2 linked regions of the Arabidopsis thaliana genome follow. Changing the gene in region 1 together with any one later gene gives a genetic interaction. Each region holds a gene or a part of one and is shown in the gene's direction. Other genes may lie near its edges.

Evidence for each region.
Region 2: changes in ATS1 (region 1) and AT1G27695 impair growth when combined (synthetic growth defect), as found in Arabidopsis thaliana (one study listed by BioGRID).

What each region holds. Positions count from the first base shown.
Region 1 is NC_003070.9:11,598,246-11,606,865, reverse strand, and holds ATS1 (phospholipid/glycerol acyltransferase family protein), read left to right. Parts: upstream 1-1,691; 5' UTR 1,692-1,864; coding exon 1,865-2,180; intron 2,181-2,574; coding exon 2,575-2,672; intron 2,673-2,793; coding exon 2,794-2,880; intron 2,881-2,977; coding exon 2,978-3,075; intron 3,076-3,228; coding exon 3,229-3,286; intron 3,287-3,389; coding exon 3,390-3,491; intron 3,492-3,563; coding exon 3,564-3,625; intron 3,626-3,722; coding exon 3,723-3,833; intron 3,834-3,935; coding exon 3,936-4,014; intron 4,015-4,089; coding exon 4,090-4,209; intron 4,210-4,304; coding exon 4,305-4,418; intron 4,419-4,508; coding exon 4,509-4,643; 3' UTR 4,644-5,195; downstream 5,196-8,620. Other genes in the region: ATDAD1 (Defender against death (DAD family) protein), read left to right, coding at 1-20, 110-153, 736-819. UniProt on the Arabidopsis thaliana protein: Esterifies acyl-group from acyl-ACP to the sn-1 position of glycerol-3-phosphate. The enzyme from chilling-resistant plants discriminates against non-fluid palmitic acid and selects oleic acid whereas the enzyme from sensitive plants accepts both fatty acids.
Region 2 is NC_003070.9:9,635,643-9,641,963, forward strand, and holds AT1G27695 (glycine-rich protein), read left to right. Parts: upstream 1-3,381; 5' UTR 3,382-3,480; intron 3,481-3,504; exon of another isoform or gene 3,505-3,565; 5' UTR 3,566-3,571; coding exon 3,572-3,611; intron 3,612-3,686; coding exon 3,687-3,731; intron 3,732-4,058; coding exon 4,059-4,091; intron 4,092-4,202; coding exon 4,203-4,360; 3' UTR 4,361-4,562; downstream 4,563-6,321. Other genes in the region: AT1G27690 (lipase, putative (DUF620)), read left to right, coding at 1,039-1,440, 1,683-2,033, 2,117-2,665; AT1G27700 (Syntaxin/t-SNARE family protein), read right to left, coding at 4,752-4,777, 4,877-5,063, 5,158-5,646, 5,723-5,837, 6,034-6,110.

The sequences.
Region 1 (8,620 bases):
CGGGACAGCAGTTCTTGCTGGTAAGTTTATCTGGATTTTATTACAGACATGCTTATACCTTGAGAATGTATGTTTAAAACTAACAGTCTTCTCTATTTTGTGTTTATAGTTTGCCTCCGGATTCAAGTGAACAAAGAAAACAAGGAATTCAAGGTAATGCTATGATGTTTCCGAAAACATTAGATGACAAGTTTACTTCTCTTCAGTAATCATACCGCTGTTTTTGTTATAACAATGGCAGTTTTTCATCCCTCCTCTTTTTGCATCTAAGCTGTAGTGACACTGCAATTCTAATTTTTAAGGTGTTCCTGTTAGTGTAGTGCAAGAGGAAGACTATTAAAACTAAACTAGGAGGATTTTTATGGGAATGTGGCTATGTTTGAAGTCAGTTTTCAGCTGTATGAGATAAGAGTTTGAAAGGGAAGTAGGCAGAAACTGTTTAGGCATTTTAGAATTTCTTAGGGTTTAGGTTGGGGATGTGGGAGGGTTAGAGATTCTCGTGACCAATCACTTGGTTAGTACATTGATTCCATCGAAGAAATATACTAGGCTCTGGACATATAGATGATAAAAAAGAACTTCTGAAATCTGAACATGGGAATCAATTTTCTGAGAAACTTGTCATTGATCTCATTTTCCCTTGGGAGTTGGGGTTTATATACACCCCAATAGTTTCATTAGATTCCTGCAATGTACTATTGTATAATAACCGAAATATCATTTTGAAAACTGCAGGATTTAGCACCTGAGAGAGCTTTTGCTGATTTTGTTCTCTGCAACTTAGTCCTCCATTTGGTGATCATCAACTTCCTCGGATAGAGGTTTCACTCTCCTGTCTACAAGTTGCTTTCATGCTTTAATGTACTGGAGTTTTTAGGTGTCACTTGGAATCAAAACTCTAGTTTGAGATATTTTTGTTGTTGTCGAAGTATCAAACTTTTATTAGTGTCTCTCTCACTCAATAACAGAGTCTCCTGCAGTAATGGCCTAATGGGACCCTTTGATTCGATTCGGTTCTCTCGGCCTATATATAAACCACTCAGACTCTGACACTTGTCATAAAACCCAATCCTCAAGTTGGTGGAATTGAGTTTTGTGCCGTTTATGTCACAAACAAACTCACGATACTCTTTAAATGAGAAAAAAGGAGAGAATCTGATATCATAATTGAAGCTTATCTAGTCAGTGTGTGAAATATCACGAGTGAATATGAAGTGACAAACTGTAAATCTAATTTTACAGTTTAACTTTTAAATTTTGTCAACTATCTTAAAATTTATAACTGTTGTACACGATTTTAAAATATCATTACGTGCACGAGAACAAATATGACTTCTTTAAATTCCAACAAATTTAAATACTGACGCAACCAAGGGAAAAAAGATACATAAACTTTTTAATTTATCGACTATTTCCACAATCTATAATTTAAGAATCGTTACGTGATTTTTCGTTGTCGACGTCACATGATTTATATTTAGATAATTCATTATGTGTACACATAAGCATGACTACTTCTTCAAACAAACACAAAGGCAAATACAATGTACGGACGCAACTAACAAAAAATAAAATAAAGATGTGAGGTTATAATTTGGTCTTGAGTCTTCTTTAATTTTATTAAATTTAAAATTAATACTACATAGTATCATTATAATTATGAGTTCTTCAATGAAATAAGATTACTAAGGGGAAATTAAATTAAATTATTAAAAAAAAGAGTATTTAATTTGGTGAAAAATAAAAAATAAAAACGTGAAAAAGAGGGACTCATGGGATAAATAAAAAGGAAGGAAGAGATCTCCGTCACACACACATAAACACTCCACACGCTCTGCTTCGTCCAATCACCAAACACGCTTTAATGACTCTCACGTTTTCCTCCTCCGCCGCAACCGTTGCCGTTGCTGCTGCAACCGTAACCTCCTCCGCTAGGGTTCCGGTTTATCCACTCGCTTCGTCGACTCTTCGTGGATTAGTATCTTTCAGATTAACCGCGAAGAAGCTGTTTCTGCCGCCTCTTCGTTCTCGCGGCGGCGTTAGTGTGAGAGCCATGTCTGAGCTTGTTCAGGATAAAGAATCGTCCGTCGCGGCGAGCATTGCTTTCAATGAAGCCGCCGGTGAGACGCCGAGTGAGCTTAGTCATTCCCGTACTTTCTTGGATGCGCGAAGTGAACAAGGTTAGTTACTCTTCTTCGTCTTCTTTCCTGAGGAATTTGAATTGACTTGTGGTAGCAATTCGGAAATGGAATTTAGAGTTGTGGAGATTGTTCGATTCCTTTGTGTTCATAATCGATATTCGAGTTTGTTTCTTGTTTGACTGGATAAGGTTCATTGAATTGACTTCTTGCCTTTTGCTTCTGATCTTGCTCCATTCTTGTTAAATGGATAAGAACGTCTTTGGAATTCTTAGGTTGTGTTGCTCTTGATATGCTTTCGCTTTCTTTAAGAAGATCAGTTCATAAGGATGCAATCAGATAATTTCCTTTTTCAAAAAGTGCAAGTAGGAGTTTCTGGATGGATGTGTAACAATGCTTGTATTAACATTGTGTTTATCTTCATTTCCATCGTCAGATCTTTTATCTGGTATCAAGAAGGAAGCTGAAGCTGGAAGGTTGCCAGCAAATGTTGCAGCAGGAATGGAAGAATTGTATTGGAACTACAAAAATGCAGTAAATGAATCCTTTTATCACTCACTAGTTTGTACGATTAGTGCTATGCTTTGGAATTAATTAGATTAAAGAACATCAGTCCACTGAACTTTTGCATTGTTGTCTTACTGATGGTTTTTAGGTTTTAAGTAGTGGAGCTTCCAGGGCAGATGAAACTGTTGTATCAAACATGTCTGTTGCTTTTGATCGCATGCTTCTTGGTGTGGAGGTACTTCTTCTGTCAATCTCTTGGAATGATTTTTCTACTAGGAGATGTCATCTAAAAATTCTTTTACTTGAGCTTCCTTGCGCTGTGAATATTTCAGGATCCTTATACTTTTAATCCATATCATAAAGCAGTCAGAGAACCATTTGACTACTACATGTTTGTCCATACATACATCCGTCCTCTTATTGATTTCAAGTAAGCTGGAATATGCACTCTTAGTTATCAGATTTTATTCATAACTGAATGTAATTAGAAAGCAATATCGTTTGGTTAGTATCATTGGATCTTCTAGTTTTCTTCTTGCCATCAAGTGTTCATCTACTAACAACCCTTGAATATGTTATGCAGAAATTCGTACGTTGGAAATGCTTCTATATTCTCTGAGCTGGAAGACAAGATTCGACAGGTCATCTTCCCTCTTTCTTGTGCTCTAGTTAATGCTGTTTGCTTTCATCAACAGTTAAAGTTCTTTCCATTCAGGACTTTAATACTCAACTGTTTAATTACAGGGACACAATATCGTGTTGATATCAAACCATCAAAGTGAAGCTGATCCGGCTGTCATTTCTCTATTGCTTGAAGCACAATCTCCTTTCATAGGAGAGAACATTGTGAGCCTTCGAGCCTTGTTCTGAGCTATTATACGCTATTGTCTCTGTTCTTATTTGTTTCTTTGGTTGCAGAAATGTGTGGCTGGTGATCGAGTCATCACTGATCCTCTTTGTAAGCCGTTCAGTATGGGAAGGTATCACGAGCTTTCATTTGCAATGGTATGCTACCTGATGGGCTGAAGTGTAATCTTAGCAACCTTGTATGACTTCCGGGATTTCTACTGCTTTCAGGAACCTCATATGTGTTTACTCGAAAAAGCACATGAATGATGATCCTGAGCTTGTTGACATGAAAAGAAAAGCAAACACACGAAGCTTAAAGGAGATGGCTACAATGCTAAGGTTAATGGAACTAAATAGCGAGTGTTCTTATTTGATCTCATAGGAACAGACATTAAAGGAAAACATTGATGTTTAGTCTGCTAATGTTGATGAACCCTGTAGGTCTGGCGGTCAACTTATATGGATTGCACCAAGCGGTGGAAGGGACCGCCCGAATCCTTCTACTGGGGAATGGTTTCCTGTAAGTTATTTGATGGAATACAGAGATCTTATCTGAGTCTGGTAGATATGCAAGTACTAATCTAGTAATGTTCAGGCACCCTTTGATGCTTCTTCGGTAGACAACATGAGAAGACTGGTTGAACATTCTGGCGCTCCTGGACATATATATCCAATGTCTTTGCTTTGCTATGACATCATGCCCCCTCCACCCCAGGTATTGATTGTTTTCTTCTCTCTGTCTCTCTTCTCCGTTTTGGGCTAACTCTGGTTGACTTTCCTCTCATCATCACTTCATTGTGCATCTGCCAGGTTGAGAAAGAAATCGGAGAGAAAAGATTAGTTGGGTTTCACGGTACTGGACTATCAATTGCTCCTGAAATCAACTTCTCAGACGTCACAGCAGACTGCGAGAGCCCTAATGAGGTCTGTCTGTAACACTCAGCACACCAATGACTTTAGTTTCAAGATCGAGTAATTCATCATGCATATAAATACATTCTTGTGGTATGGCAGGCGAAAGAAGCATACAGCCAAGCTTTGTACAAGTCGGTGAATGAACAATACGAGATCTTAAACTCTGCGATTAAACACAGAAGAGGAGTAGAAGCATCAACTTCAAGGGTCTCTTTGTCACAACCTTGGAATTAGTCTCTCGTTTTAGGGTAACACTTTCAAAACTCATAAATCTTCTGTCTCAGAAGTTTTGTTGCAACTGTATATATATTGAGAGAGAGAGCATTGTTCTTTCATTTGCAGGATACACAAACACAATCAATGGAAAATACTCAAAAAAAAAAAAAATGGAGATATTATTCACACGTTGTCCTAGGGAGTTTTTTTTTTTTTTCAAACGAGTTCCAAAGCCTCCTTGAAACAACAAGAAAAAAAAAAACAGGTACGTTGTTGGTTTCTAACGTAGGAAGAAGAAGAAGTTGGTTTGTGTACATATGAATAGTGAGAGAAAACAAACTCTTGCTAGGCTCTTAGATCTCACATATGGTTTCATATGTAATATTCTTTTCTTTTTTGGAGGTTTCCTACTATATAGAGCCGAATAATTCACAATCCCAATTTATGCCTCTTCCTTCTCTCTGCTTTCTCATATGCTTCATGATTTTATTCCAATTTAGTTTTCCATATAGATTTTATAGGCTTTGATATATCAGTCAGTAACACAATTTTGCGGAAAATGGGTTTTGTTCAATTATACCACCTTATTAGTGACAATTGACAAACAGTATCTCTTATAATTTTGCAGAAAAAAATCTGAGAAACAATTCTACCATTAGTCAAAAGTGTTTACGAAATAAAAGAGTTATTGGTCAAAACATTCCATTTCACTATTGAAAACAATTTTGTTGTGATCTCTAAATTTGAAGAGCGCGTAGAGAGTGTTTTGTGTGTGGGTACTATTTTTGTGTTACTTGGCAAGTTGACAGAGATGATGAGTGTCTGGCCTGTTTGGATCCTTATGTCACATAGACACATACTACTATCTCTCAAAGCTTCTGTCCCTGTATTCACGTGTCTCTTCTCTGTTTTCTTCTTTCCACTATCTCCCCTCACTTTCTTATTTTCAGAAACAAAATCACTCGAGCTTTATTTTAAAGCAGTAAGATAAAGAAAAAGAAAAAAATCTTATTTTATTTGTCTATTTATTACATTATGACAATGAGCGACATTAGTAATAAATTATTCAAATTTGGGTTCTATTTGTCTCAGTAATTACGGATTATATTTGGAAAGCGACAACACCACTCACTTCTACTCTGTTTAAGTCAACAATTAACACTTTCTTTTAGTGTTTAATTAGTGATCAAAGTTAGGATTACAGCTTTTTCTCATCATTCTAATCATTCCTATCTTTATTTCAAGTTGATGTGATATACGACTGTTTTTCGTACTATCAAAATGATATAAATGTTCGAAATAAAAGAAGGGAATCGTGTGATCAATGAATAATAACAACTATCTAATCTGTCTCTTCTTTTTCTTATTTTCTCTGCATATAGATGCCACATTCTATGATTCGTAATCGTAATTACCTTATTATTCGTTTCTCAAACTACAACGGAGCAAATACTCTTGAGATGGAAGTGAAAAGTTACTGTGGTTTTCACTTTTCACGGCTCGATATCCACAAATAGTTATCACGAGTACCATCACCTCTTTCGTGTCAACCTCAAGAAACAAAAGTTCTTCCTTTATATTTTTTCAAGAAAAATGTGTTTTTTTTTAATTCTTGAAAAAAATCCACAATTCACTAGATGACAAAAGAAAATATAAACTGTTTGCAATTTGGATAATTAATCTTGGTAAAAAGGCTTTTCTATTTTAAAAAGTTATGTTTTGATAAGTTGATCTTATTTGTTTGGGATTATTATGCATTAAAATTGAATTTTAAGGTTTTTGTTATTTTACATTTGTTATATGTAATTTTAAATAGTAGATGTTGTCTTATCCTCACGTCTTTTGCGATAAACCATAATTACAAACAAATGGCATGTCGAAATTTGTGAGTGCACGAGTCCCAGCGAAGGGCATGCACCCTTAAATTTATGTTCATATTTAATATCTGTACACTTTTATTAGTTTCTTGATTCAATGCGATATTCATCTCACGTGGCTCTCGAATCGTTTCACATTCTCAGACCTTGTTTAATTTTTTATAATAGTCCATTGTCAGTTTTTAATTTGGGAGTATTTAGTTGCTCGATTATCGACCGATTAGTTTATTCAGTTTGTTTTTGTTTGTGTTATTCGCAATTTTTTCTTGGATGAAAACAAATGTATCGATGTTGGAATCCACGTTGTAAGGAGAAGAGTGACGTTTAAGCCTTCCTAGACAGACGATTTATATAAAAGAAACCTTAGTTAGAACTTACATCTATACACACGAAATACTCTGTGAAAAGTTACATTAAAATACACTTTACTGGACAAGTGTATCATTGTTTGCTAATTAATTAGTACATTGAATATCGATTGTTTTGTGTATTTTCGGTGGTTAATTAACCAAAAAGATTTGCAAAAGTTTAGGACTGTCACAATCTTGGCCACCGTTTTTGAATTTTGTTTGTAAAGGCTGTTATAAACATAATTATGATATAGGCTCTAATCAGTACTAAAGCATGATTTGATCAGATTAATAGTACGGTAATTAAGTGAAAATATTTTGTTTCTTAGTCGTATTGTTTGTCCACTTAATTTGCGTTGGATTTACTAATGGTGCCTTCCACCTTCGGGTATCTTTATAATTCATGAACTCCCTAATAATTACCTATCATTATTAATTTCACCTTTGTGATTTATTGATATATTTTGCCAAAATTGATTAACCTTTACTAGCTTTTCTTGATGTATTTGCTACATGATTTACAACAGCCAAATTTTTTTATCGGTTACTATGAAATGTTTGTTATCTCCGCAAGTAACAGTAAGCACAAATTTTTACATATAAAACCTAAAAATTTCTCCTTCGAGCATTATCAATTTTACCTTTGTACATTTGTTAAAAGATGAAGCCAAAATTGATTAGCCTTTACTACCACCCTTTCCATAAAAATTTACTCATCTTAAAATATAATTTCTTACTTCAACCAAACTTCACTTTTATCGATTACAAGCAAATGTTGTTTTACCTATCCAAATAATTAACAGAAAACACAATTGTTTACATATGAAAACAAAAAGTGCCTCTATTGAACATTGCGAGCAAGGTATCAACCCCTAGTATTATCGGTCTATAACTGTCGTAAATCAACCACTACTTAGGAAACCAAATTTTTAGAGATTAAACTCATACAATATTATGGTGCAAAGGTTTGCTTATTGTCCAATGTCCACTCTGAAACCATTATACAAATTCCATTGAATAACTTCATAAAATATGGTTAGTACATATAATGTCTTATGAAATAATTACATCACCCAAATTAAATTTATATAATTCTGAATGAAGTGGTTACATACCAATAAATCATTTGTACCATGGTACTTCCCTTATCGCAGATGGTCCTAGCGTGGTCTTTCCATTACTGACATGGTATTCAACATGATCTTCCAAATTGGCCTTGAACCAGGCATTGCAGTTCTTTTACCACAATTCCAAACGTATTCATGAGAGAAAAAAAATTCCTAATGGTTTAAATTTTACTTGTTATGAGCCAAGGCAACCAAAAAAATAAGACAAGTAACAAAACATTTTGTACTTTAAAATACAATAAATTTGTATCAGAGTGAAGCACGTGGCAGAGCAGGAGTGGAGAGGACCACAAAAGTAGAAGAGATTTGTACAAAATCTAAAATAGTAAGCAAACTGATTAAGCTTGTGTGGTGGTGGGACTCACTTACGGACAAAGAGTCATACAGATCTCTTTTAGAGCCAAAGTCAAACTCCAATCGAATAACTTGTTGAGTTTGTTTCTACATCTTTAAACATCACGAGATCTATATTTCACGCGCTCGAGAGCTCTTCTTTCTTCCCACGCGCCTCCGTAGAGTAATCTGCGCAAATGCGTAGCTTGGTGACTTGTCGGACTTTTTGGTGTTCCTTGAAATATTATTTTAGTATCGATCACAACTTTTCCAAAGAAATTGCACTTATCACTACTTTGATATAACCA
Region 2 (6,321 bases), 2.0 Mb from region 1:
AAAAAAAAAAAACATAAGAAAAGTTATTTTTTTTTCTTTTGTCGTCCATAATTATTTTTCTGTTTGAACACACAAAGGCGCACTTGAGAGTTTAGAAGTACCATGGAAAATGGTTATTTGAGGTTAAAGATGAAAATGAGTAAGAAGCAACCATATAAATATATATCCATTCTAATTTGGTCCCATGAATCAAATTGAAAACTCCAGAAAAGGAAGACTATTTTTAATAATTTTGTGTTATGTTGACCTTTTGTGACTTATGCTCATGCTCATGCACACCCTACTCGTCTATATTGTATATTGCTTTTAGTAATATAACACCTTTTTTTTTTTGTTAAAATAGTAATATAACACTCAATTGCTTTGTTTTGACTTTAATTAATTTCCATCTCTAAGAGCATGCCTTTCGTGTTCCTTAAGGCTAATTGCTCACTAATTTATGCTGCTTTTGAAATAAAGTATTATATATATATATATATATAATGATTAACATATTATCAACTTTTATGAAAAAATCAAAACATATTAAGCAACTCCTTTTAACTCGTTGTTGTGGTCACAAACTGTAACAAGTTTTCTTCTTATCCAATGTGGAACGAGTTAGCCCAAAAAAAAGACTTGAGAGAAAGAAGACAAATATGAATGTTTTATGTCTTATAAATGGAATGTAAAACCATTTCAATAGAAAAAAATAACAAAAAAATTCTTATACCAATTTTCATAATTAAATCTTATCCCGAATCCCATTTGCCTGTAATAATGAGACTTTTAAAAGTTTTTATTCGAGAAGCAGTGATTCATAATTTCAACGATGTCGAGAAAAAAAATGTGTATAACCCTAAATAATAGCCAAAATAAGAAAAGAATAATTAAATTCCAAAAGAAATGGTTAAAAAAGCGAATTAACGAATTAAATTCGACATTTATATTTTGCAACCTTCCCTTCGACGCAAACATTTCTCTCTTTTTTCTCTAATCACCAAACCTGCGTCTTCTCTCTCACACTACTAACAACACTTCCTTCTTCTTCTTCCGACTATGGATAAGAAGCACGGCTTGTTCTCCAAGTCTAATTCCCGGCGACCACGATCCAAGAGTCCAGTCAGAAGCGTCTCTCCGATCATCATCCGTCGCCGGAAAGGCCGTTACGTCACACAACCGGACCGGCACATGTCTGAGATGCTTGCTCCGGTTATAGAAGGTCCTGATCCAGACGCTGAAGACTCCGGAAGCAGTGGTGATTACTCTAGGTTCGAGAGACGTTGGTACAATTGGATGAAATGTCAGCTTCCGGTGGCTCCGCCGTCAGTATCGTCCTCTTCGGATTTCAAACGAACGGATCTGAGGCTTCTCCTCGGTGTTCTTGGCGCACCTTTAGGTCCTGTGCACGTTAGCGCTCTGGATCTCCTTCCACACCTCAGTATCAAGAATACACCTATGGTGAGCTCTTAATTCACTGTTGTCTCCTCAAAATTAGGACAGTGTTGGGGATTTGGAGTTAATCATGTTGAATTAAGCTCTTCTGTGCCATAATCTAGCTTGAATTTAGCTGAATCTTCTTTTAGTTGCCTACTAATTACGGAGAAAGACTGCGCAATTAATTGAGATTTATCAAGTTTTATCTCTGCTTTAATGTGTTGAGGGTAAAGTCTAATGACTCTTACTAATACTTGAATTTTCAGGAGACTTCCTCTGCTCAGTACATACTTCAGCAGTATACGGCTGCATCAGGAGGTCAAAAGCTTCATAGTTCTGTGCAAAATGGATATGTTATGGGAAGAATCAGGACGATGGCTTCAGAGTTTGAGACAGGCTCAAAAGGTTCAAAGAGCAAGAATAATTCGTCAAAAGCTGTTGAGTCTGGAGGATTTGTGTTGTGGCATATGAATCCTGATATGTGGTACATGGAGCTTGTTCTTGGTGGGAGCAAGGTTCTTGCAGGTTGTGACGGGAAGCTTGTGTGGAGACACACACCATGGCTTGGACCTCATGCTGCAAAAGGACCGGTTAGACCATTACGACGTGCTCTGCAGGTTAGGCCTCTTGTCCCAAGGAAGCCTTCTCATACACTTTTCTTTGCTTGCATAACTGAATTGTTACTGTTGTCAACTTTCAGGGACTTGACCCGAGGACCACAGCGTATATGTTTGCAAATGCAAGGTGCATAGGAGAAAAAAAGATCGATGGAGAAGACTGTTTCATTCTCAAGCTATGTGCAGACCCGGCAACACTCAAAGCTAGAAGCGAAGGGGCATCAGAGACCATAAGACATACGTTGTTCGGTTACTTCAGCCAAAAAACCGGTCTGCTTGTTCACTTAGAAGACTCCCAGCTAACCCGAATCCAAAACAATGGAGGCGAAGCGGTTTACTGGGAGACGACCATCAACTCATACCTAGAAGACTACAAACCTGTCGAAGGTATCATGATAGCTCACTCTGGTAGATCCGTGGCTACGCTTTTAAGGTTTGGAGATATGTCATCAGGACATAACACTAAGACCACAATGCAAGAAGCATGGGTCATCGATGAAATCTCGTTCAATGTCCCTGGCTTGTCTATAGATTGCTTCATTCCACCTTCAGAACTCAGATTTGATTCCCACGTTGAAGACTTATCTCAAGGCCCCAAAATTAGGACATTGCACGGCCATAAAAATGGTTGATGTGAAGAAGCAGGAGATCAATGTGTATAACTCATTCAAAAACAAACCCTAGACCGGTTATTTTACTTTTGCTATTGTCGAAGCTAAAATTCTTGTAGGAAGTTTCGTTGAAGTTGTAAATAGACAGCAGGAGAAGTTCGTTCTTTTTGCCGCATAATGTTAGGAATGTGTAGTCTTAGTAAGGTCAGTCCAATTTTTAGTTTATAATATTGTTTCATATACTATGATAGAAGCTCCCATCTATTTCACCTAATAGCATATAGTATAAAGAAATATTACTTGGTCATCCATACCAATTGGAACTGATGAATACGATCTTCCTTGTATTGTATATCAATAAATTCATAGTGTGAGTGTAGTTTCTTTTGTAGCACAAACTAGTAAATGTTATTTCTCCTCCTACTGTCTATTTCAAACCGTTGCTCATTAGTTTACTCCAAAAAATGGCCATAAGTACTTATCTGTTTGTCTGTCTCAACCATCCAAATCCTATTTGTGAGTTGGATTTCAATGGGACATGAGCATTTTTGCATATGGATTGATCCATTTGCTCACTAGATCGTTTTATTTTACTGTTGACTGTTGTTGACCTTGAGAAAAAGAATTAGGCCGGTTCACTGTTGACCAAATTCTTTTACATAAAATCATTTTGAAAATAATCCCGGTTCATTAGTTAAACCGGTTCGATTAATTTGGTACGTCTCTAAAACAAATCGTCTTCACCTTTCTTCTCTTGCTTTCAGGGCTTGCGATTTTAAGTGGGGGAGGTAGAGAGAGCAATCTACCAGATTCACCGATTACCAACAACAAACAAGGTATCATCGGGTAATTCAGATTCGCAATTTCTGCTCATTTGAATTTATAGATTCCTAAATTGGTTTCTTTTTTTTTCTTGTGAAGATCACTATGGTGCTCTCTGACTTCACTGGAGTCGGTGTTGGATTTGGTAATGCCCCCATTCGCAATTGTTTTCTCCTTTTAATTTTGATTGGAATCGTAATTTAGTTATTGGAATTCATAGGGTTCGGTGTTGGTTGTGGATTTGGCGTTGGATGGGGTTTTGGAGGTTCGTTCTCAACTTCTCTCTTTTTCTGCTTTTACTTGAACAAAATCTGGACTGAATTACAAGATAATTCTATTGGAACAATTCTCTTGCTAGTTGCTATGGGATGTGCAATGCACTCTGCTGTGCTTGTTTAGTTTTGTGATCATATTGCTTAATGTCTCTTATAGAGATTATCAACTCCTACATATCATCTTTACTCAAATGCTTCTTCTTTCCTAGCTAATGGTTGCTTAAACGCATAGCTAGTATCAGTTGCGCTTACATTTTGATGGATTCATACTATTTTGCAAACCTACTGAATTGGAGATTTCCGTTGCTTTCATGCAGGAATGCCTATGAACATCTTAGGTGTTGGTGCTGGTAAGCATTTCAAACTTCTACTTCAAATATCCCACACTCGCATAGATACACACCGAGCAGGTTTTTCCTAAATTCTAATTACGTAACTTATGCGTCTGGTATTTGACAAAGGTGGCGGTTGCGGGGTGGGTTTGGGCCTCGGGTGGGGTTTCGGGACTGCGTTTGGGAGTCACTATCGTTCATCTAGACTTACATTTCAAGGCATCGAGTTAGAGACTGCCGATAAACGGGAGGAGGTGGTGGCTAACATGTCCAAAAACTCCACTTAAGCAGTCGTGTGCTTCAATACTCTGCTCGGATTGATTGTAAAAGAATTCTGACACCTTTTCTTATTTCTCAATGAAACGGTTACTTCAAATAATCCAATACGAAATGCATTTCTGTATTCTGAATTGTCATTTTTAGAAGGTTCCACTTCAATCTTGGGTTTAGTCCCAAATAATTCTACAATGGTTAATAGGATTGGTGCCTAAGAAAACAATGATTGCTCAATGAAACCCGTTTCAAATAATCGAACCAAAAAAATGCATTTCTATATTACAAACAACCAAAAACAGTTGGAATTTACTGTACAGTAAAAATGTGGATTGCCAAATTCGTCTCTTTCGCTGTTACACAGAAGATGAATGAACTCGAACCTTGCTATTCCAAACCTCTCTTCTACATTGAATGCACTGCAACTACCACTGCAATCAGAAAAAAAAACAATTTATCTCAAAACTCAAAAGTGATGCAGTAAGCTTTGCGTTCTAAACATAAATGATTCAGAGTTCAGTAAATCTTACCAATAAGAAAAACTAAAAGAATAATCCAAATTGCAGCGTGAACCGATTTACTATATCGCATTCGATACTGAGACCGTTGGAGTTGCCTCTGTAGAGCTCCATACCAACCATGAAGCTGCTTTTCATAACAGTCCTCCTCACACTCCATACAACTCTTGCCCCTCTCTGAACATCCATTCATATCTTGCTGAGAAACAAAAAAATAAAAAGCATTTCTTAGCAAAGATTTTCAAAGCAGGAGGCAAAAATCTTGCGGTTGGAGATCGATCGATCAAACTTACTTGGTTAGCTTGGATAGGTAATAAAGCAGCATCAGAGTCTCCTTGACGATCTAAACCCTTCCACTTTCTATTGCAATGCTTGGACACAGGATCCATATAATTCAAGAATCCAGAGAAGCTAGGTACTTTCCTCGGAGGTCGAACCACTGGCTCATCACAAGATTTCTTCACTAAACCATCATCAGAAACCGCAATGTTCCAAGCACTGAATTCAGCAGCACTTGCAGTCCTTCTATGTCCATTAGGATTTGCTTTAGCAGATTCAGATGGACCAGTCAAGAAGAGAGCAAGCTCATTACGATCATCTTCATCCAAACGAACCCATCTCGGTGTTCCTTTCCCATCGGATTGCGCAGCTTCCTTGAGAGATTTCTCGATTTTCGACACTTGAGCTTCCATTACGAAAGTAAACTCACGATGCCTATCTCTAGTTTCATCACTCAAACGATTGTCATAGCTAGATTTGACAGCTTTTTGGAATTCATCTAACTACACCAAAAATATTACAGGTTTCATAAATCAACATTACAGATTAAGAATCTGAGTTCTGAGGAAAGAAAGAAACCTGCCATTTGGTGGTTCCAAGAGCTGCGTGAAGATCTCTATGAAGCTGCTCAGAGTCCCATACTTTTGAAGAGTCTCGTTTCCCATTGAGCCATGTCCTGTACGCTGACTCCATCCTACACATGAATCGAAGATAACAACACACATTGTGAGATTTCAGATCTAAGACTTGATTTGATTAATCAGAAATCGTAATCCCAAATCCGAAGCAACACGAATCGAATCGTCGACATTGCATCACCAACAATGAGAGTTTATGGTATCACAGATTCAAAACGAAAATTGGGAGATGAGGATCCGAAAAACGCAAACCTGTCGGCAGATTCCTGAACTTCTTCAGCAGCGGGAAAGAAAGGATCTTTCTCCCACCGATCCAAACTCGTCGTCATCACTTGAGCAGATGAAAAAAAACAAACTAATTTCCTAATCCTTGGAAGATGAGAAGAAACCCAGAAATGGAGGAAAATGGAGAAGATGGATGGATCGAGAAAGATTTCAGAGAAGAGAGGGAACGTTCGTTCATCGATTAGCCAAATTACGGCCTTTCGTTACACACACGTGCGAAAATTAGTACTATTAATGTTTGGTTTATTCAATGTG